Nothobranchius furzeri: one gene and its partner. The protein of the gene in region 2 interacts with the protein of the main gene of each other region in a biochemical or structural test. Links are inferred from orthologs where the notes say so. Each region holds a gene or a part of one and is shown on either strand. Other genes may lie near its edges. The genes, in order: stx5a and uso1.

Region 1 (12,538 bases), on a different chromosome or scaffold from region 2:
CACTTTGTGCAGTGTTTGATCCATATTTAGTCAAAAGCTGACAGACTTAAGTGGAGGTTAAGTTTCATCTACCCCTGATTCAGAATGAAATGCATCCATGCATTTAGAACTGTGATATACACAAATGCTTCCTGTTTAGCTACAGCGTAGCAGCGGTGAGTACAGGACAAGAGTAATTAGATTATAACGTTTACAACCGCCAGTCATTCTTCCAGGTAGGCTCTGGATTTGAATGTAATCTGGGATTTGGTGGCTCAGTGCTGAGTGGTGTGGAAACCCACAAACTGGCTTGATGTTCCTCATATACAGAGCCACAGACTGGCTGGTGGACAGACTGACCACGTCTGAGAGTTTACAGGTGCGTGACAAAACGATTACACAGGTAGTTATGTCATATCAGTGTGAGGCTGAGCAATAACAGCCTGACGATTTGGAGGATAACTGCCTGCCCTGTGGGAGAGATCTTTCTATGCTTCAGATTAATCTGTGTCAGTTATAATAAATGTCATATCTGAAGGTTCTAAAGAAGAAATTTTTGTAATAATGGACCATCCAAGGATTTCCAGGTCATTTGAGCTAAAATCACTCAGCAGCAACTAGCTTTAAAACTGGGAAACTGACGCTAAAGAAAATTCAATGAAATTAAAACATCTACTTAGACAGCTGTTATATAACCTGAAGAGTCTCCGTCACACTGATGCCCAGGTCCCCACTCATGTCATGAGGTAAGCTCCTCTTGTCACTCAATCTTGATTAATACAGGATGACATTTATTCTCAATCCCAAACTCATACACTCACTTCCACATTCACCGTCCCAGGAGGACACACGTACGGTCTGCCAGGGACCGCCAGCGGTAGCCAGGCAGTCAGGTAGCAGTGTGCCACCCGCTGGAGCCTCACTCATCCACTTCCCACATGGGCAGCTGCTAACAGTCTTTGCAGAGCAACTGGTTGATTTCTGTCACACGAGAGTACGCCACGTCTGTTTGAATCCAGCTTTCGAAAGGTGAGATTGTATTAATTTGGAATATAAAAATGATTGAGAAAATGTGCTTTACATTGTTTGTGCACAGGCTGGAATCCATTGAGGTTAACTCTGGGTTGTTTGTCATTTTAATAATAAAAATAAAATGAAAGAGACATTTTTAGTCCTCAAATGCGACAATTTTTTTATCAGAATGTTTAAAATTTTCTACTTACAAGGCACAATTTATATTTTACATAAATCACTGAACTCTTTCCATCTTTTTCAGATGTTTCCCTGGTCTGCTGTTTTCTCCCTGGAGCCCAAAGTGCCGGGCCAGCGCTCCACTGAGGAGCTGGTGACCAATACTCTGATGCTGGAGCTGGGGGCCATGGTGAAGCGCACTGAACGGGTCCGTTTGGAGAGGGCCACGGAGGGTCGGCGCCGCCGTCGCAGCTCCTCATCCACGGCCGACTACAGCTGGCTGGCGAACAACCCAACCCCACAGCCCTACCAGCTCACCCCCAATGACCTGCTGGAGCTGCAGGACCTCTGTGCCAAGATCCCTCCAGCACAGTGTGGCCCTGCTATTGTCAGGTAAGACTTGAGTTTTAGCTGTAGTAGCTGATGACGCATACAGTTTCAGGACCAATGAGGCTGATAAATACAAAGTAATGAAAAATAACAAGAGGTGAAGCCCTCAGCATCAGTTTTATGATGAACATTAAAAAAATAAATAAATAAAAGACAAAGCCAGTTCTGAATCACCTGCATGGAACAGGCCTAACATACAACTTTGCAACACAGAATGTGAAAATAAGAATTTAGAGCTCCAGCTATCTCCTTTAACACCCTATAGACAATAATATGCTCAAACCCTCAGGTCATCTCATGAAAGCGTTCAATAACTCAGGACAGAACTTCTTTCAAAAGATGGCTGACAGGATTAGTTCTTCATTTCAGGGATCTTTAATCAGCCCAATCTTTAAAAAAAAATGCTTAAAATGATAGGTTTCATTGTTGGCCCAAAACATTGGGGGATCAAATGTATGTAAAGGGAAATGTCTGATTTCAGTTTATAATAGTTCTATGGTTGATACAAAACATGTTGATGAAGTTCTTTGCAAAAAGTCACGCATAAAACAATTTCAGCAGTTTTACAGTTTCATTGCCTTCCAGAATGGGTGATTTCAAGGCTCTGTCACTTTAAGAAAGCATGCTGGAGCTGGTCACGCCCACCCATGCCCCACTCAGTCTGCTATAGGCAGAGAAGCTCTGATATTCGGGAGGGGCTCAGAGTAGAGTCATGCTCCTCCAGCAGCAGTTCTCTCTTGCACGTGAGAGTTGGTTCCTGAGTAAATTCCCCATTTGTGATGTCACAAATGGGGACCTTTTGAAACTTCTTGTTTTATGAACGATTCCTAAAACCAAACACTGAGAAAAAATGGGTGGACAGGTTTTTTCATGTTTCGAGTGTTTTTGAGGCAGTAGAGAACGATGGCAGCACTAAAGAATCCAAAAGGTGTTTTTTTTTTCACAATATGGCTCCTTTAAAAATATTTCCTGTAAAACAAAAATGCAAATGGAATTTCTGGTTAGATGTCACACGAGTTCTCTAGCATCAGCACCTTGTCAATGTTTAAAGATAGCAACTCCATTCTTTGTGCAAAGTCTTCTCTCAGTCCCATATTTACTTCTGTAAATTTTCCAAACCCATGTCATGACCAACCTTCTCCTTCCACTGCAGGTTCAGGAGGCTGGTGTCTCAGATGGAGCCGGAGGTTCACGAGGTCCCTCGGCTGTTCCGCACCGTGCTACGGGACTGTGTCGATGAGATAAACGAGAATGACAATCTTCAAACTCCCAACACTTTCTTTGAGAAGCAGCAACGCAGCAAGAGCCTGTCTTTTGTTACTTTTCGCACAAAGTTTCGCACTGGTCAGATGTTCAAGGGCAGCGGTTTGAGAGGCTCCAGAGGGAATCTGCAGCAGCAGGTGGACTGGTCCGAGGAGGAGTCGGACGGAGAAGGAGAGGAGGAGGCTATCAAGGCTAGGGCCAGGAAGGGAAGGAGCAAGAGCATGCCAGAGATCACCCCAATGGAGCAGAGTGCTCATGGCTGAGGAAGCAGATAGAAGGTTCAGAAGGACTGGTGTAGAAAAGTAGGCACGGAGGAAACAACGTGAGTCTGAACTGGTGATAGTGAAAATAATCACAAATGAAAAGAAAAGGGGTAAGGAATTGTCAGAGAAATAAAAATTAATTTTAAAAAACTTTCACTTCTGCGTCATCTATAGCTTTTTGTGAACATGAGGGAAGTATTTAAGAGATTTCATAATCATTAGTTTAACTCTACCTGCTTACGAACTTTAGTGAAACTGGTATTAAGATTAATTAGAGCTGATGGTTAAGGACAGTTTTAACCTTGCAGCAATCCTCTGGGTAGCAGGCTATGACACACTGACAGTAATCAAATTTAGATGATCTCCTACGTTCATCACCACGTTAAATAGCAGCTGTTAAAAAAACAAAATGGTTCCGTTTTAGTTTTTCAAGTTTAAATGGAGGTTTAGACAAGCTGACTTGACTTTGACCTGATAAAAGTACAAAATATAAAATGTTTAGATCAAACTGGGTGCTACTACATTTCTTGTTATATCCATAAAGGAGAGTAGCTGCTGTAGATTCAAAACAAAGAGACCCTGATGGGACAGGACCACAGATCTACAAACAAATCAAACATTAGATGCAGTCTCCTACTAAAGATCCCACAAACTGTTCCTTTATATTCTGTTACCGATGCAGACTGGTCTCCACCACAAAAGGGAAACAGTTTCTTCAGCAGCCGCCGTTCAGGTTAATGAAAAGCTGCTCTCCTTCAGATCTCTGCAACGTAAATCATGTCAGTTGCATGTTTTTTTTTATTTTAAATATACATGTCTGTTTGAGAAAATATACAATGTTCTAATCCTTTCTGATTAAAGCATTGCATTTTCTTAATAGTGTCTGTTTTACTTTGAAAATGGGTGCATGTTTGAAACATTTAAGGTGAAAAACTGGATTGCACAGAAGATAAACATTTCCAATTCAATATTTCTCTAACATTGAAACATGAATGGATCCCAGTGATAAACTACTTTTTAGCATAACCAAAAACCTTTGGTTAAAAGAATTTTGGTACAAAATACATCAAATAAAAATGCCTCGACCTGAAGGATGAGTGCTGACTAGCTGAAAAAAAAATCATATTTAAATAAACCAGTCCCTTCATTCAACCAGATTTACCTTAGATTGGTTCAACTGCATAACTTAGGCTCTATTCTGCTTTCTAATAAATCAGATTACTTAAATGTTTTACATAATGTATTTTGTTGAGTACTTGAGTGAAAATACAAGTAATCTCTTTGTGAGGATATGATTAACCAGCATTCTAATCCCAAAAAGACATTAAACATCAGTGCCAGCATCCCATTATTTTATTAATGCACTCTTTTCCAATACATCATAACTATTTGCACTTTATACAATGAAGTCAAGGCATTTGGCTAAAAACATGGGAAAACAGGAACCATTTCTTTTTGTTGTAATGGTCAGTTAAATAACACTAATCTGAAGAGGTGGGGAACTTTAACAGACACTTCCAGGGTATCTGTTCATTATTGGGTTGTCTCCAACCAGAAAAACCCCTTCATTAGCGCTGATCCTCTCTGAGGCATTGCACCGGGGACTTTTAAACCCCTGAACCTGACGGCTGCTGGCCAGACAGCTTCAATTAAAATAACAACTATAATATAACTACACTTTGTAGGACTCCTGCCTAAAACTTCAGCTTGGATGGCTCAAACTGCTTTCTTGAGCATCTTAGTTTTATGTCACAGTTCAGTAAGTCTACCCATTTGGCAAATTAACTTAGAAAGCAAAACTGGAACTAAAACAAAATCACATAAATGAATGCTGTTGAATTAAGTAATGCCGATTAATGAAACAAAGTCATTCAGTTGTAATGAGAAGTAGAAACACAATAGAGTAGACTTCCATTCTATTGTTTGGCTTTGGAATAATAAAGTGAAGGGGTAAACAAAACAAATTTAAGACAGTTTGCAGAATCAAACCATTAACTTACAGCCATTTTGAGTAAATGTAAATCTTGGTGAAAGTACAAAGCAGAGCTTCCTTCTGCTCAGTAACCAACAGAAGATGTTTATTATTTTGACAGAGTTCAACCTCTTTATTCCTCATTAAGCTGTAGAATCAAGAGTCTGTAGCTTGGAAGTGAGTGAAAAGTCTGTGTGATTCTAAATCCCAGCCTTTAATAAACCGTTGTGGAGAACTTCATCCTTCCATTATGTCGTGCAACCTGGTCCAACTTTAGCTTCTATGTGCTTTTTCCTCCATTTAGCTGGTCCTCTTCACTTGCTTTACTTTTTCAAGCGAAGAAGACAACAAAGATGATAAAGAAAACAGCGAGAACAAGAAAGATCTTAATCATCAGCCAGCGGTTGGAGGAGACGGACTGGAAGTACTTGAGGATTTCTGTGTGAGCTGACTCAACGTTCATCTGGGCATCGTCCACGTTAGCATCAATCCTGCAAGAGGACAACAGGAAGTGAGCTACAGCTGTCATTGCTCACATCTGGTTTCTTTTTTTAAAGAGGTCCTTCACTTAGAAACTATTTTTTACTTATTTTTGAAAGTTGGCCACTGAGTTTAACATTCAGGCAGCATGTCTCCTGCCTTAGCTTCTAATAGAAAATACTGTGAAAATCGAGGATTTGAAAACCTGACAGATCTACGTCGCACCGTCACTTAACATCCATGGACTCATCTATCTTGGCTCGTGACAGGGAAGGCTGCTGTTTTAGCTTCCAGCGAACAGCAGACAACATAATGGCTAGTAGAAGCTAACCATTAGCATTAGCAACTCCACCACACAGCAGAACTCCTCCAGGCTTGTGTTATTTGTGGAGGGACAGCATCAATGTAGTAAAGCAAATGGAGTCAGTGGTAGAGTCATGTTGCTGTTAGCCAATCAGAGGCGAGATGTCCAAATATCAGGACATAAGACTCCAAATCCTGCTGTCTCAAGCTACTTTTTCCTGTGGTTTAATTCTCTGTGCTGAAACAGATGCACCAGTTTTTTTCTCTCTAGAGTATGACTTAGAAGGCCTTCACTCCTGCAATAGGCCACTGCCAATGTACTGAAAATATGAGTGAAGGACAGTTAAACCAAAAGCAGGGCACATATGGCAATAACTTGAAACCACTTCTTTTAACACAAATCTATTTTGCCATACATACACTGAAGGGCAATTATAAATATATATACACGTGTGTGTGTGTGTGTGTTAAGACTGAGCATCTCACAAATTTCCTTTATTTACTGTAATCTTCTCAGCTGACCAAAATGGACGTGTACAACATATTCTTGTACTAGGTGATTTCAGTGGCCATTTTCCTACTTGTACTCCACCTTTGTATGGTCTCTTCTTGTTCTTTAACCATGTGTGCCAGCTGCTGGAATATAGAACCCAGTTCCACGATGGTGCTCTCAATGTTCTGCATTGTATCTGCACGGCTCTGGATGTACGAGTCCTAGAACACCAAACATTTTTTCAAGTGTTAAGGAGTGTTCTGTATAATACAACACTGCCCATTTACTGGTTGTAGGTTAACAGCGATGTGTCTGATTGCCAAATGTCAGCAGTGCTACCTGCTCATCAATAAGCTGGAGCTGCAGAGGGTTGCTCTGAGAGTCCATGTTGATGGCCACATCTCCCATGCTCCGGGACTCGTCCTGCATCAGAACAGAGCTCTCTGAAAGAAACAAGAGGGTAAAACAAACCCATGATCAACGAAATTGGAATAAATCTCTGAATGTTGCAGGGGAAGGCATAAAAAAATCAGCAGGTATATACAGTAGCGATTCATACCCGCTGGGAGAGTCAGACATTCCAGGGAAATACCTTTTAAATTTGTGGTTGTATAGCCCTGGTAGTCATTGCGCGGCTCGCGAGCTGCTTGCGGCTCCTGGGCCCCTTTTTTGCGGCTCCCTAAAATATTTTTTAATTTTTGCATTACAGAGGACCAAATACAATAATAATCAATCACAAGGACTTTGAGCAGTTCCCTACAGCAACAGCTGTTGGTTTCAACACAAGAACACTGGCAGTCAAAGGCTCTCCACAACTTGTAAAGAAACGTGGGTAACACTTTACAATAAGGGTCCCTTTATTAACGTTACTTAGAGCACTATTAAGCTTTAATAAATAAAGAATCCCTTTATTAACGTTCCCGATATTGCTAACTATTAAGTGTCCTTAAGGTTGAGACAAAGGGCTGGGGGGGCTGCTTAGTGATGCATTATTTAATAAGAACATTAAGCAGTTAACATTTTATTTAATAGTTTATTAATGCTTAATAATGCACCAAGTAACATTAATAGAGACCTTTACTGTAAAGTGCTACCGAAACGTGAAGCAGCATGCGGACAGAAAGATCTACTTTATGAATACTTCATTAAATATGTATTCTGATAAATTTACAGTAGAGATAAGTGAAAGGGTACAAGTATTGTAAATGAATTATGGGTTCAGGGCTCTGTTTAGATACATTATTTTAATGATTTTTAAACAAAAAAGAAGAATTGATGCGTGAATAAAAGGCAGAAGGACTAAGTGGATCAAGTGGTTAGAGAGCAGGACATTTCCAGAAATAGAAATTATTACAAACACATCATGTTCAATCTTTAAATGTATTTATGAGCAGTTGCATCAGCTTCAGCCAGAAATGCTTATAAACAATTGCTGTTTTTATTGGTAGAGTAGATTCATGCAAAGGAAGCATCAGAGCCCCCAGCACCCTTCAGATAACCCCTGCATGTGGAGCAGGGGACGGACAGTAGCACCTACAAGTGGAACAAATTAGACTAGTGTTTGTAGCTTTCACCACTAAAACTCCAAAACTAAAGGCATCTATATTAGTTTTAAATGTGTTGTTGACGGTTGTTTGCTCAAATAACATAAGCCGTTTAAACATTTTGCCTGAATCTTGGGTGGGATTTCTCCCACAAACTTCATTCGTGTTGGATGAGCGTGTCACCATTAAGCTACACCAGCATGCAACATTCACTTGTCATCAGTTTTAAAAAGTGATCATGGCAAAATATTGTTATATTTAGTGACTGAAAGCATGAATCCAAGAAGGGACAGAGACTTACTGAAGTTGTTGGCCATCATAGGAGAAGAGGAGACGGGGGGCTGGGAGAACTGCTCTCTCCTGCTGCGCTGCTGCTTCAGGTTCTACACAGGAGACGTACGACGACGCAGAATTAAATTACATTAAAAACTCCCATTCTAGAACACCAGTACTAGTGTTTTCTGCTCGTAATAACATGGAAACATTCTCACCTCAGTTCTGATTTCTAAGACTGATTTGAAGTCATTTGACATTGATGCCAGTTTGGACTGCAGATAGAAACATAAAAAAACAAGTCCATCATTCAGCTGAAAGCACATCTAAAGAAGCATAGCACGTAATAAATACAAGCGATGAAAACTTTTTATCTGATATTTTAAAGGACCTGTATCATGCCATTTTAGACCTTCCAATGCAATGGTAGGCGGGGTTTTTCCTGCGTTCAAATTTGTGCGGCGGCCGCCTCCAGCTATTTTTCTGCCGCCCCATCCTGATTTCACTCTGCCCCCAGCTATATGGATGTTATTTTAACATCCATGTTGAGTGGAGAGGACGCAGAGCGCTGATCGTTGGTGCGCCCGCTGCGTCCACCACACGATACATTTTCAAGGTGGCACAACAAAACTATTATTAACACATGATTATTCATATCTGTTTATATCCTCTGGTACTCTGTCTTTTAATCGTTCCTGACACGCTCCGCTCATCCTGTGCTGCGGTGATTTCACCTCACTGACGCAGCATCAAAATGCGCACTACGCTTTGCGGTCAGGAGATCCCTTTGATCTGTTCAAAAGTAACTGATGAGGTGAAAAAGTAAGAAGCCAGACAGCAGCTTTTCTAGAGAATTTAGAGGAGATGCAGGAAGATGAGAGACAGACAGGACAGGACAATAGTCAAATAAAAACAAGAAAACAAAGCTTGAAAGTAAAACGTACGTAGATTTATCTCCACTACACGTTTTTACCAGTATAAAACAATAAGTTATCCACATGTAATATTTGTACATCTGATACAATTCAGATCACCTTCAAAACTCAGTCACACGCCCAGGGCCGTTTCAAGGCATTTTGGGGGCCAAGGCAAAACGGAACACCCCCTAACCCTAACCCGTACATAATAGACATGCCACCATTACATTGTTAGCAGCAGAAATTAAATGTTATTACCATTTCCAATACAAATGCATGTTAATGAAATGCATTATATTTTACTGGATATATTTGTGTTATTTTGACTAAGATGAGTGTTATTAATACAAACCTAAAATGTTACTGAAATATAGGTCATATTTAAAAATATTTTTAACTATAAATATCAGATGGGAAAAAGGAAACTAAACACTAATCTAAAATTATTGAGCCTTTTATAATATTTTGCCTTTAAAAAGTGAGGCAGTTGAATGCACAGAGTATGCATGTGCTGGCACATGGTCAGGGTGGTACCACCTCTGCCTCAATTTGAGGCAGGAAAAACCCTGGTAGGTATGATGAAACATTACCGTTAGCACTATCGAGATGTTTTTTTTTATAAAGTACAAGTTATTTTTGTGAGCCATTACTTCAACCCAGAAATAAGAGGCTCAGATTAAATCAAACCCTGCTTCCTGCAATGTGAATTTCAAATTAGCACACAGCTGCAGACTTGGAGACCAGAGGTTCAAGCTGACATGTGCAACTCAATGACTGCATTATTTAAAGTGCAGACTAGACAGGAAAGAAATCACAACTGTGGAGATTAAAGTCTCTGCTAGCTACATGGAGAGACTGGGTGTTAGTGTTTACAGTCCAGGGGAGGAGGGATGCAGACTCAAAACCACCTAGATGAGGATAATAAAGTCGTGACATAGCAATAACCCACCCAGCAGCATGAAACAGCTTAGCAAAAAGTTGCAGAGCTAAAGGAAAGAAAATGCTTCGACATAAAAATGCATGCACACATGCATAAAAATAAATAAATTTGGGTTGTTTTTCATGAGGAAGTAATATAACATGGTCAAAACCCTCAAAAAGTAGATTTTGCATGATATAAGACCTTAAAATAAGTTTTTTAAACCATTATTTTGAACAAATATGAAATATACCATATGCAGATCAGATATTACAAATACACAAAATGTACCTGTAATGAGACCACTATAGTGTTGGAATGGGTCTGGATGTGTCGGCCACCAGGAGCACTGCGGGACCTGATCAAGTCCTGCAGCTGTGCAATCTGTTTGTTTAGGCTGTTGATATCCTTTGGACAGAAGAACATATGAAAAAGTCAGTATTTTAATAAACAAAAACTGATATTTTTAATACACATTTATAAACCTCACACCTGCTGGAGAGCAACTTCAACCTACCTGTTTAATGATGTAGGTTAGCTCCTCAATCTCCACTGCCTTGTCATCAAATAAAGATTTCTTTTTGGCCACTGAAATAACAAAGCAATAGCACGCAAAAATCAGCACTTCGGAAAACAAAATATTTATTTCTGCAGAAATGACAAAACCATCACTTACAAATTGTGAGTTTTTCCAATTTGGCAAATGTATTGCTTAAGTCTTTCCCAATCCTCCTGCAAAGAAACAAGCAGATGAAACTTACTTTTGGTTCTCAGTGTTTCCCCTAGAAATTTTTCTAGCTGTGGTGGTTGTGGTGGTGGGTGGGGATTATGACACGTCTCACCTTTATGTTAATATTGTTTTATTTGATGCACTCCACTTTGAACTGCACCAATCCAGCAACTGCTGCATTTTAATAACTAGTATTAAAAGGTGAATACACCAATATTTGCACAAAAATAATTTTTGTTTTAAACTCTCAGTGACACACTTTGCAGGGGGGATTTGGCATTTAATTTTTCTTGGCGTCTGGAAAAACATCTCCTTTTGCCCCCCTTTATTTGACTTTCTGCCCCCTTTATTTTGGTCCGAGATCATTACTGGGCTGGCCCTATTAAAAACGTTCTACACCCCTGCTTAGTCGACTTAATGAAGTATTTTTAAGTCAGTATAAAAATGACTGAAACACAAATTTACATATTTGGCATTATTGACCAATATCTTTGATTTAATTTATTTGTTAAGAACATCAAGATGCGTTACAGTGATCATTATAATGAAGCACATTTTTCTAGTGCAGAGAGGAGACAACCCATAGAAGCACTGATTTGATCTCATTTCAGAGAAAAATAGAACAGGTCAGATGCACCTAATAAATAAAATTACTAGCATAAACTCAGGAATCGGTTTCTTTGCTTCATTGTTCTGGTGCTGAAAATATCACTAATGTCAAAGGAGATACACAGATGAATGCAACTCCTACTTATTATTTGGAAATTAGTGGGTGTGGTTTACATCAATACATTATTTTAAATCTGAAATTGATATGGATTGATCAGAAGTTGCTATGTGTGTTTATTTGAAAACTATTTACAGAGCAGCCTCAGAATTTAGATTAAATATTTTTGACCACAATAGTAAAGGAACTATTAAAGAACAAGTTTTTCAGTAAAATCAGAACATTAATATTTAAGTATATGAGTTAATACATCTAAACTCATGCAGTAGGAACTACTGACCCCAATTGAAATACTAGAACAATTAAAATACTAGAACCAGACAAACCTTTTTAATGTTTTTATTTTAATTTGATTAAACTGATTTTTTCCTAACGTTGTTGGCATTTTCCCCACACAAAGTTAAACAAAACAATGTTGATTAAGGTGTGTGTGTATGAGAGAGAGACAGAGAGAGAGAGAAAGTTAAAATAATTTTAAAAAACCCGACCGGAGATGAGGCAGTGACCGACGCAGCATGAGCCGTTTTCAGCTCTGTCTTGTCAAATGCACCACGTATGTTACGGAAAAGGTAACTTTAAATATTCAACCGAAAAAGAGGCGAGCTGAAGAAAACCTAGGGAGTACTGAAGAAACGTGAGCAACAGTGAAGCAATCACAGAGAGATCCGTTACTGTCTGTGTGTGTGCGTGGATGCCTGGGCCGGACTGAGCTCCCGGCTGCAGAGTTTTGTGTGTAGGGAGGGGCGGACGCTCTATGTGACTGGCCAATCACGGAGCATGAAGACAGTTACCCAATGGGTATTTTCTTTCAGCACGATTACAGATATTTATGAGTTTTACTCGTTTCATGCTCGTATTCATCAAAAATGCTTTATCCGCCCTATCTGTAACCACCCTGCCCTGCCTCCTCCTCCTTGCTGCCTGCCGGCTTTCATCACAAGCAACAACAGAGTAGTTCCCGCTGCTTCTTCGGGAAATGGCACAAAGAAAAAAAAAATCAATTAAACTTGGGATCTTGTAGGCGTGGCGCTGGGATTTCAGCCGTGGCGGGCCGCCACCTATGCCTGTGTAAGGGAAACACTGGGTTCTGCTTC
Region 2 (11,831 bases):
TCATTTTGGTTTTTCAGTGGTTGAAGGTTACAATAATATTTGACTGCCTATGTGTTTATACCATCGACATAAATATACACGCGCACTTTTATAATTTTTCTGAAGAGTTTGTGCTGCAGTACCAAGTGAAATTTCCCACTGTGGGATCAAGTCTATTCTATTCTAGCCGTTTTTTCCATCTCAGGTCTGCACGAAACCCCCTGAACAAAATACTCTACATAAGAAACTCCAGCCACACGAGGAAAGTCTCATGTAGAATGAACTGTGGCAGAAACCAAACAGCTACAAATTAAACGTTAATGTTATTGAGAACATAAACTCAGGTGTTTGTTGCCTCCTAGTGGTGAGGAGCAGCCGTTACAAGAAGCTTCACACGCTTTAGTAGAACTACTTGTACACATTTACTTACTAATGGAGTTTTATTTTTGTCATTTTAAATTTGCTCCAAATTTCTTTAAGAATATTTCCAAATAAAAGTCTGATTAAATATTTATAATAAATATTTACATATTTTAATCCAAAGCAGATAAGACCAAAACATTTTATTGTGGATTTATTAAAATGTACCTACATTTTTTTCCTCCATATGGCATACAGATAGATTTTTTATTCATTTCAAGGTTTTTCTTTAAACTCATAAGTTACAGAATATCATACAGAAGCTTAATGCCAGAACTGGGTCAAAAGGGGTTGCAAAAATACATCTTAGCATGTTTTTTTATGTCGTCAGTGTTTTGCAGCATGTTGCAGAGCAGTCGTGTTGAGCCGTCGAGGTGAAAGGAAAGAGCTCCGTAATACTAACCTTGTACTGGGCGTGGAGGCGGATGAATCCAGGGTGGAGCACAGAGAAGAGTTGTGAGCAGAACGCAGGAGAGACGCTCACAAAACACTAAATTAATAATCATCTTTTATCGCTACGTTTTAAATCCCTCCTCTTTAGATTTCCCAGATTAGACTGTGCATTAAAAACAACTAAAGAACAGAAGACAAGCAGAACTGGTCACAGAGGTTTTGTGGAGATGAACGCACCAACGAGTTTAAATCACTGAAAAACAAACATGAACAAAAACTTTCCGAATGTTAAATATGAGAATGTGATGAGAATTATGAAGACAGCATGGCAGCTTGGTGGAGAACCTGCTGTGATATATATATATATATATTAGTCCTATTCCTCAGTTTCTCAGGCGACTTTCGACAGTCTCTTCTTCTCTCTTGGGAGGCAGATTCACATCACACCTTTCAGTGTTTCTAGTCCTCGTCTTCGTCCTCCTCGTCGGATGTCTGCTCCCTGGCGTCGATGTCATCTTCATCTTCCACCTGCGAGGGAAGAGTCATAGTCTAACTAGAGCAGACAGACAGAACAAGGCTGAGTGGTGTCGGGACGGAGCCCGACTCCGTTAGCTGATCTGGGGTCAGAAACACAACAAGAGCAGTTTTTACCTAACAGAAACTAAAAATGACACTCTGCATGACTGCTGTTGCCATGGTGACCAGAATGAAATGTGAAGATCATTACTGAACCAGAGCCATTCAGGGGATGCTCGCTCAATGATGTAGGATGGATGACAGAACCCATGATGACGGAGGCAAGAGATACTTCAAGCTAGACTTCGATCATTTTTATATCATTTAGTTTAAAAACTAAATCTGAAGCCCTGAAGACAAAACCTCGCCACTAAGGGTGGGTTGTTTCTGTACCGGCTCTCCCAGGTCTTTGAGTCTCTGTTTCAGGCCGTGGATTTTCTGGTCCTGGTCTGCCAGCAGCATCAGCAGGTCATCCTGCTCCTTCTTGGATTCTTGGAGCTCACTCTGCAGCTTCGACTTCTCCGTCTGCAGGATAGCCACGGTGCTCGTGGCAGAAGCCAGCTGCTGCTCCAACCCCGCCTGGCTCTCCTAAAGCGGGAGGAGTTGGTGACGGTGGTTACTGATCAATGTTTATGAACAGAAATCAGATCACTTCACTTAAAACGGATCAATCTAAAACACCTTCAGTCTTTCCGTCTCAGACATCTGTGCTGAGAGCCGGCTCTCCAGTTCTTTGATGGCGTCTGATGTGCCGTCACTAGAGGGCGCTGCGTCAGCGGCCTGAGCGACACCAAGGAGGTTTTAGCTTATTAATTAAAAGTTTCTTTATGTCAGATTAGAGGGATGTTTTAGAATTGTTACCCCTGCTTCAGCTCGTCTCAGCAGCTCCTGTCTCTCAGTCTTCAGCTGGTTGATATCAGCCAACTGGGACTGAACCTGACTCTTTAAAGCTTCCAATTCCTGCAACAAATTCCCACAAGCTGACGTTATAAAGCAAGACATTCTAATGACGTCACAGCAGTCATTATCTTGTTTCGTTTAGCCCAGGGGTCGGCAACCCGCGGCTCTGGAGCCGCATGCGGCTCTTCCATCCATCTGATGCGGCTCTCTGTGCTTGTAAAATAATGAATGGATATTTAAATAAAATGCTTTATACTTTACTGCATTAATTTTACATCTGTATGCCGATTCTAAATGTAAAGATTGTCTGCGTAAACCTGAACATTTCCAACCCGGTCTTACTGTGAGACCGGGTTGACGGGTCACACTTGTGCGTAATCATATCGGCGCTTTCTGAGCTGACGAGGATGTGAGATTCTGGGACTCTCCTCAGACGCCACATTGGAAACAGGAACAAGCACTATTCAGCCAAAGTTTCATAATCAGAGAACATTTTCTAAGTGACAAGTCTCGCTTCAGTCGGAGGAATCTTCCTGCATGCGCTCTGGTTCTGCGACGCGCTCCAAGCTCCTCTCCACATCTTCAGCTCGCTGTGCGCCGTATACGTACGCGCTGACAGCGAGCTGCGCTGAGCAGTGTCCAGCTCAGATGTTCAGATGGGAATCTTTTCTTGGGTGATTTAGCTACATCTGCGATGTGTGAAACGAATAAAGTGTTAGTTCGTCTGCATGCGTCGGGGTAATTCTTTCTCCGTCAAAATAAACGGTCAAATACGGGAACTATCCGGTCAACACAAGCCCTGCTTTTAACTGTTTTGTTTTCTTGTGAAAATTGTTGCAAATAGATATAATTTAACTTGATTAACACCAGAGCCAGGCGCACTGCGCCGTTATCTCCGTCACTGTAAATGAGGGAAAAACAAATTGATCGGATCCTTTTCTGACCTTCCCCACCTACAAAGTTTAATTACAACAATCAAACGTGACAGAGCCTGGATTTGTATTCTGAACAGTCTAAACATGTTTTAAAAAGAAGCATATGACAAAAGTGGCATCTGCTCAGTAAAACCACCAACAGGGTGAAAAATTTCAAAATAAACGGGCTACAACTTCTGGATCCATTTTATATAAATCGTTTTATTGATTATCGTCTTATGAAAGATAGCTTTGACGTACACGAGCAACCGGTACTGGCTGCTGTCACCTGTTGTGAGCAGCTCTCTGCTGTCTGAGGGTAGGCCCCGCCCACAACGCCGCGGCTGCTGTGGCTCCCAGTGTTTTCTTTACTGTGGGAAACGGGTAATAATGGTTCTTTGATGGGAACAGGTTGCCGACCCCTGATTTAGCCACAGAACATTTGGATGGAATTCAGGATGTCTTTGTTGTGCCCAAAATCCAGATGTTAGCATCTCCTTTGACCTGTGAAGAGGGAGCCTCACCTGAAGCAGCTCTGTGTTGGCTGATCCTCCTCCTGAACTCTCAGATGTCTGTGCTGCTGACTTCTATTTTCACACAATAAAGCATCAGTCAGGCCCTCTTTATACATCTGTAGATGCAAGATTACTGCACACATCATCACTAAATGTTATCATTATTCCTGAATCTCTAGAATGAACACACAGGTGATCTGAAACCTGCACTAACCAGGCTGTCGATGAGGGCGTCTTTGTCACCGACTTGTGTCTGAAGAAGTGTGTGTTGCTTGCGGAGCTCCTCCAGCTCCTCCCTGAGCTGAGACAGCTCTTCTGTCTGCAGCCCGTTCACCTGAGAGCCATCTGCCTGAGTGCTGGGCTGACTCTGGCTGTCCTTACCTGAGGAGAAGAACCACAGAGGTGTCTGCTCAGTTAAAACCTCACAGCTGCACTACCACGGGTGACATGAAGGAGCAGTGGCAGCTGTGTGAACTCACCTAGTTTTAGTTTGAGGATGTTGTACTGGTCTTTGTGCTGCTGGATCTGAGACAGCTGCTGGCTGATTGTTGCCTGCATCTGGTCAGTCTGGGTGGTCATGGATGCTACCTGCTCCTTCAGCTCCTGGATCTGAGCATCCTATCATAAAAGAGAAGAAAAACTGTCAGTGCTGAGTTTCTGAACCTAATCACACTGAAGCACTGAAGTCCACTCACCTGCTCTCTGATCAACTCTTTGTACTGAGTTACGATGTTGTCGTGTTGCTCTAATGTCTTCTTCACCTCTTCTTCCTTCTTATCCTCCTCACTGGACTTGTGAACTGCTTTTGTTATCACACCTGTGTAGAGCAGAGAGGAGCACCCTGTAAAATCCCTCTGGATGAGCGGATCCGTCTCCGGACAGGACGACACGTTTCTCACCGACCTTCCAGCTCTTTGACCAGCTTGGTGAACTCGTGGTCAAACAGCATCTGCTCTGGAGACGGGAAGATGGGCTGCGGCTTCAGAGCCGCCCGAGAATACAGTTCGTGTTTGGTGATGAAGCCGAGCTTCTCCACAAAGTTCTCCTTTCCGATGCGCTTCTCGATCAGCTGTTTTAGCTTCTCCCTGAGGAGGGACATGACGACATTACCATGGTGAACAAATCTCTCTACGATGGCTTCTCGTGTATGCCTAAAAATGGCCAAATCAACATGTTTCTATGTGAAACCGATGCAAGATAACTTACTTGGTGTAGTTTTCCAGTGAGTTGTCATTATAATAGATGCAGATACCAAGCAGCAGTGCACACAGGCCCTGCACCAGCCTCTCATCTTCCCCCAGGTTCTCTGAAATCTGAGCTGTCAGCTACAGGAGTCACCCAGTCAAAGATTCATTCAACAAACCTCAGTCAATCATTCTCTCACAGAGTCAGTGCAGCCGAAGACTTGATTTAATGTTATGAGTTTAAATGAAAAGGTTGAGGTTAAAGCTTTAAGCTATCCGAAGGTGAGAGCTGAGACAAAGTCTTATCAGTCAATTTTAAAACTAACTGTGAATATGCTGAAGGATACAAAAGGAACGTTATCCTGATTGTGTAGAAAGTGTGTGACAGCAATGGGACAGTTGCTGATCCAAGTGCACAGCAGCATGAGAAGGCCCACTCTGGTCTGAACTTTACTACCCTGCAGGAAGAAAACAACACAAACAAAAAGCTTAGGAAGACACCCGGTAAAAACATGAAACATTAAATCTTAAAGACCAAGTTCACTTGTTTTTTCCAACATGTTTGGGGTGGGCTCTAGTATAAGTTTTTGCCTTGTGAGTTGATCTCTGTGAAGGAAAAAAAAAATTGGCACTTCTGATTCAGGAAGTAGAAGTTAGCCCGAGCCGAGGGGAACACATCACAGCAGAATTTGGAGTTAGTGTTTAACGACACATAAGCATGTTTTAAATGGCTGCCTTGCGTAGCTTGCGTTGATTTGAAGGGTCATTTTTCCGCGTCCCCCAAAATTAATGCAACTCGTTTAAAAGCCGCAATACACGAGTAGCCAGTAGGGGGAGTTGACAAAACAAGCGAGACACACTCACCATGGCAACTCTGTCTCTAGTTTAGAGGTCTTTCTAACCAGCTACGATACCGCTGCTGTCTTTTTCTGCCGTGAACTCAAAATTACCCAGTTTCTGATCTCTTCTGTTGATGCCATGTTGTTTTGGTTGTGCCCCACAAACCCGGCTCACTACCCGGTCTTACTACTCTACAGTGCCCCCTCGTGGAATCCTCCGTACCACATGCAGTGCCGTGCAGCAGTAAGTGAACAAAGGTTAAAAAGCAAGTATATTCTGGCCATTATTTTCTGATATTTGGACATCTCTCTTCTGATTGGATAACAGCAACATGACTCTACCACTAGCACTCTTTGCTCTGCTACGCTGAGGTTTCATCTCCACAAATAACACAAGCCTGAAGCAGTTCAGCAGTGTGGTAGAGTTGCTAATGCTAATAGTTAGCTTCTACTGCTTCTTCGCCGTTTCTCGGACGCTAAGCCAACAACAGCTTTGCCCATCACGAGCCATGATGACTGAGTCCATGAATCTTCAGAGCCTCAGTCACACCCATCTACTTCCAGACCATAGATCCCCAGAAGAACAAAAAATGGGGCTAAAAACACTATTTTCTAATTCCGCTCGTTTTGTACCATGGATTTCACATGATGCCCGTGAATTTTAAAGACACATTTTGATACCAAGAATGCGTCATTTTCGAACAGGGGAAATGTTATTTTAGGATTTGTGTGAAAATAAGTCCAGGACTACAAATGCGCTTCACGAAAGTGACGTCATCGAACCAGACACGGAGAAAACTGAGGGAAAAGGGCTGTAAGTTCAGCAAACTTCCCTCAGGAGGAAAGAACCAGCATAAATCTGGTCATTCGGTAAGTAGCAGCTACGCTAGGGGAGAGGAGATGTGGTGACGCCACATATGCGACATGCTGATTTCTAGTTTGTAGTCATGCCAATTATGAACTTTTAAAAGCTAATAAATCTCAAAGTACGTGACTGGCGTGGTCGAAACACCCATCGTTAGTTTTCATTTAAATTGCTGTACAGCATATGTGTGATCCAGGGCGTAAGGGAAGGCGGATAAGAAAATAGCGTTTTTAGCCCCGTTGACTTGCATTCATTTTTTCGTTCTTCCGGGGATCCATGAGCCGACCAGAAAGGGAGGAGACTTAGGCTCCCCATTGTGAAGTTGTTTTGGGCTTTTCTAATCCAAGCGTTTTTCAGAAGCTAATGAAGGAAATAGGGGTAGAAGATTATTTTCACGTTTGGCCTGCATGTTAAACTGAGAGTGGATGATCACATTTCAAACATAAGAAGTAAAAATCACTTTCTCATTGAACTTGGTCTTTAAATATTAAAGAGGCTATTTTCGAAAGACCTTAAAACTGGATGCAAGATGTGCAAAATTCAGTCTGGCTGTGCATGGGGGTGAAATAAGAAAAATAAAACAAAAGCACCAGAATGCATCTTCATCAGAAGGAATTTAACAGCAGACTTAAAAAAATAAACAAGCAAAGAAGCAAATTTTAGAAGCTTGAGCTGCTGATGCATTTCTAAAGTTTCGCTAAATGATCGTTATTTGGGCCAAATAGGAATTCTAAATAATCTGATGAAATAAAAACAAAATAAAATTTCAGTTTATAAAAACAAATAATGTTAACGTCATCAGTTAATGTTTTAATTGGCATCAGTATTTAGTAGTTAATTGGTTATAGTTAGTTAATAAAAACATACATATGAAAGTGAGATTAAAAAGAGCATGCAGTCTTCTAATGCTCCATGGCAACAGCACAAACATACTGTTATTTATTTTAACCATCACTCTAAGAACCAATTAAACTTTTTATACCTTTGGATTTCAGCACATGCTAAACAAAATCCACCAAATCTTTTTCAGGCAATGACACAAACAGGAAATATTACGTAAAAATTTAATTTTAAATGTTAAAGATACACCACTCGTCTTGCTGTAACTCATTTTAAGCAGCCATCATAACTGCTTGTGCCAATCAGCTGCAGGAGATGAAAAGAACAAAAAATGATTGTAAAAAGAAGACGCGAGGGCTGGAGGAGAGTCCGAGCTGCAGATTCAATCCGAGATTAAATCAGCTGAATACGGAGATCTGAGCCATGATGGTGAGGGGATGAGGAGAAAAATAAACACTAATAAATCTTATCAGTGTTACTACAGCGACGTACAAAAGCAAATCACCTTTTCAGATTTTGTCTCCAAATGTGACGTAAATGGAGGAAAGGAGGAAAACAAAAAGAAAGAAATAATCACAAGGGTCAAACAGTGGAATGTTTTTGTCAACAACAGCTGACTGACTAGAAGGTTCTGGGTCGAACATCAACAAGATTGTTTGTGCATGGATACATTTTACTGAAAAAGAACAAACAGTGATGATGAAGGACCCTTGTCTGAAAAAAGAAAACCCCGAAATAGCTGCAACACACACTTCCTGAACAGATAGATGAGGCTAAAAGCAACGTTCAGGTTTCAAGCCCAAAGCAGGAGTTGTTATGATATTAGCAAACATCTCTTCTGAACTCCTAAATGAACATTTTAGTGTTTCTCCATCTTCCTAACAAATACTGATAAGCAAGAAGTGTGTCAGAGGTCAAAGCAGGACACTAACATGTTAAGAAGCAAGATCCACCCACAGAAGGGCCACAGAGACCCCTATTACTAATGCCAAGCCAATATAAACCAGGACAAGTGCCACCCAAACACACACACACACACACACACACACACACACACTACAGATGCTCTTTACTTACCCTACGGACGATCTTATCACCCTGTAAAACCGCATCAGTATTAAACCTTTGACAATCTGACTAAGAGCGGTCGTGTTTTGACACAAACCGCTCACTCACACCGCTCGGCAATGTCCGTCAGTGCCGAGCGTCACGTCCTACCTGAGACAGGATGTTGGTGCACTGCTGCAGCAAGGAGACCGGTGGCTTGCCCAGACTGGTGGCCAGTTGGACCCTCAGCAGCTGCTCCTTCTGGGTGAGGTTGTCCTGCAGGGCATGAGCCAAAGCAACGGCGGCACACCAGTTAGAAAGAGAGTCCACCGAGAACAGGCCTCCGCACAGCAGCTGGCCTGCTGAGATGGAGTTAGCTGGACGAGGAAGAAGGACGCCGTTAGACAAAAGCTTGACGACAGGACGCTCCAGGATGTGACGCTGTCCTCACCATCGATGGTGGAGGGCAGCAGGGTTGACACGATCTCCCCCTGGCCTTTCTGATTTCGGTAAAGGAAACACTGGAAGCAGTAAAGGACAGCACAGCGGAGCACGAACGGCTGCCTCTCGTTCACCATGGACATGAGCAGCACCACGATGGCCGGTCTGAGGAGACAGGAAGTGGACGGATCGCACACAGAGTTCATGAAATCCTTTCTGATTGGGATATTCACCAAATCAGACAAGTTACCTTGGTGGGTTTGAAGGAGCGTTGACTGAAGCAAAGTAGTCCTGATTGACCTGTGACCCCCTGATGACCTCTGAAACCGTGTTGATGGTCTGAAAGACAACAGATCAGATTTGTGTGGAGCAAGATAAAAATACATGACTGGTTTAGAGATGTCGCTGGGCTCACCTCAGTGAGGATGTCAGCAGGAACGCCGGTGGCCATGAGGATGGTGCAAAGCTGCTGCAACAAGCCACACTGGTACATGCTCTTCTGACAGCTGGCGGTGGCTCCAGGTGAGTTCACAGGCGACACCATCACTCGCACTAGCTGGGATGATTTTATTGAACAGATTTAAAAAAACGTGAATATGGACTAAATCCCCACCCAAACACGGCTGTTGTGTGTTACCTGCAGCATGAGGTGGAGGTTTGTGACCTTTTGGGCGGACCAGCCCGAGTTATCGTCACCAACCTCAAACCAAGGCTTCATTTTCTGGATGTAGGAGCCCTCCTTGAAGAAGTTTTGGTTAGAGCTGTTGTTCTTCAACAGATTCAGAAGCAGCAGCAAACAGTCTTCCACCACAATACCTGCACACCAGAGAGCCGTTTTTAATAGCAAAATTTAAAAATACAAAACTGGATTACGATGTAATGCGACAGCTCCTTTCACACCTCCATCACTGCAACCCTCGTCTGAAATGATCTCCAGGAGACGCTCAAACGCGTTCTCAAATGCCACAATTTTCTGAATGGCTGCATTGCCTTTGGTCAGCTGCTGCAGCAGCAACAAGCCCTGTTGGGAGCAGAAATCAGCATCATAATGAATCAAAGAGTCAGTAAGCATCTTACTGTTGGGAAACGTCAGAAGGGGACAAACGTGCTTACATCATTGCGAATGACTTCTCTAGAGTCTGCCAACAGGTCCATCAGTCTGGAAACACCTGTGAGAGGAAACCAAGTCTTTCTTTTATTCATATATGCAAGTACAACTCTCCAAATTAAAAAATTGTAAGGTTCCATATAAAAAGTTCTAATAAATAACTCACCCATGGGGCTGACGAGGACAATCCCCTGCACCTGAACGCCTTGGTTCTTTAGGAGAGCGGTCAGTAATTTAACCCCGGGCCAACGGACGTGGAAGTCAAACTCCTACAAATCGACATGAAGGTATAAACACAGAAGCAGCAGCTAAGTCTGACAGCCCTGACTTTCTTCCACAGGAAGGGAGACGCACCTCCAGCAGCGTGAGGAGCAGCGTTATGTGCTCCGGGTCCTGGATGAACTTTTCTGTAAATTGGGCTCCGAGGTCATCAGTCTGCTTCTGAGCATTCTCATCTGTGAGAGGGGCAAAAGAACAGCTGGAATAAGGACCGACGTGTTAAAAGCTGCTAGCTCAAGTCAGAGCTAATGATGGTCAAACCATAACTCCTCAAAATTTTTATATTTGAAGAGAACCCACCACAAAAACTACTGTGACGTCAAAAGAGACGTGAGCAGGAAAAGTAAAAAGTGCACAGTGGTGACAGGAAAGGAACCAAGCAGATTTTATGTTAAATCTGAATCAGATTTAAAAAAATAAAAAATAAAACATTAAAAAAAATTTTTTTGGCCAAGACTTCAGCTCTGATTTGTGTTTGCAACCAATGCTTGTGCCTTTCCTCCTGTTTGGATACCACCTTAGCAATTTTAGCTCTATTTCAAGTTTTCTGACCCTAATTTTATTATATTTCTAACCGCTCTAAGAGAATCAAATGGTCTCCAGCAACAGTAGACACCAGACCGCATCATCTTTAGCTAAAAAATATAAATGGTAAATGGTAAATGGCCTGTATTTGATATAGCGCCTTCTAGAGTCCTGGAACCCCCCAAGGCGCTTTACAACACAATCAGTCATTCACCCATTCACACACACATTCACACGCTGGTGGGGATGAGCTACAATGTAGCCACAGCTGCCCTGGGGCGCACTGACAGAGGCGAGGCTGCCGAGCACTGGCGCCACCAGTCCCTCCGACCACCACCAGCAGGCAAGGTGGGTTATGTGTCTTGCCCAAGGACACAACGACAGCGACAGACTGAGCAGGGCACGAACCTGCAACCTTCCGATTACGGGGTGAGCACTTAACTCCTGTGCCACCGTCGTCCCTACAGATGAATTCCACTGTGCACAACCAACAAACAGACATTTATCTCAGGTGGGCACTGGAATCCACAACAAAGACCAAAAGATTTGTAAGTGCTTCAAAATCAAAATAAAGAAGATAGATATGAACAAGCAGCACCACCCAACCAGGACACGTGAATAGGAAGAGTTGTAATATTAGTGAAGCTTTTGTGCTGCAACCTAAATGCCCTTCTTTAGCTTTGTGGTAGGATTTAGTGAAGTTAGTTGATGTTTAGCATAACAAGTACTGCGTGTTTGACGTGACGACCCACTGACACCTAGACATTTACTGTAAATGTATCCTGGTTGGCGACGTGCCACTAAATAAAAACACAGCCTCAAAAATTCAGCAACTTTTTAGAATTGGGACTAAAAGGACATTAAAGCGCTCTTTTAAAAAAAACTCTCTGAAAAGGTCGTGTGTAACTGAGATTTGCTGGTGGTTAAAGGGTTTGGCATCATGCACAGAGAAAGAATTTTACCTTCTGATTCATCTGAGGGATTAAAACATGAAAGAGAAGAGAGAGACGAGTCTTTACATGATGCAGTGATGATCAATAAAAAAATTATATATGAGGATGAAAAG

Evidence for each region.
Region 1: the proteins of uso1 (region 2) and stx5a form a complex in vitro, tested with the Homo sapiens proteins (2 studies listed by BioGRID). The link is inferred for Nothobranchius furzeri from reciprocal best matches to the Homo sapiens genes USO1 and STX5.

What each region holds. Positions count from the first base shown.
Region 1 is NC_091741.1:87,974,019-87,986,556, reverse strand, and holds the end of stx5a (syntaxin-5a), read right to left. Parts: intron 10,720-12,538; coding exon 10,664-10,719; intron 10,576-10,663; coding exon 10,505-10,575; intron 10,396-10,504; coding exon 10,279-10,395; intron 8,427-10,278; coding exon 8,370-8,426; intron 8,262-8,369; coding exon 8,180-8,261; intron 7,014-8,179; coding exon 6,927-7,013; intron 6,778-6,926; coding exon 6,674-6,777; intron 6,556-6,673; coding exon 6,434-6,555; intron 5,550-6,433; coding exon 5,390-5,549; 3' UTR 5,038-5,389; downstream 1-5,037. Other genes in the region: zgc:162144 (protein RD3), read left to right, coding at 1,256-1,563, 2,714-3,086. UniProt on the Homo sapiens protein: Mediates endoplasmic reticulum to Golgi transport.
Region 2 is NC_091744.1:13,149,650-13,161,480, reverse strand, and holds the end of uso1 (general vesicular transport factor p115), read right to left. Parts: intron 11,740-11,831; coding exon 11,728-11,739; intron 10,417-11,727; coding exon 10,316-10,416; intron 10,231-10,315; coding exon 10,128-10,230; intron 10,023-10,127; coding exon 9,967-10,022; intron 9,875-9,966; coding exon 9,754-9,874; intron 9,670-9,753; coding exon 9,491-9,669; intron 9,410-9,490; coding exon 9,269-9,409; intron 9,193-9,268; coding exon 9,104-9,192; intron 9,019-9,103; coding exon 8,864-9,018; intron 8,790-8,863; coding exon 8,584-8,789; intron 8,464-8,583; coding exon 8,443-8,463; intron 7,886-8,442; coding exon 7,871-7,885; intron 5,280-7,870; coding exon 5,169-5,279; intron 4,963-5,168; coding exon 4,844-4,962; intron 4,723-4,843; coding exon 4,541-4,722; intron 4,455-4,540; coding exon 4,333-4,454; intron 4,256-4,332; coding exon 4,117-4,255; intron 4,019-4,116; coding exon 3,852-4,018; intron 3,710-3,851; coding exon 3,647-3,709; intron 2,269-3,646; coding exon 2,170-2,268; and 8 more. UniProt on the Homo sapiens protein: General vesicular transport factor required for intercisternal transport in the Golgi stack; it is required for transcytotic fusion and/or subsequent binding of the vesicles to the target membrane.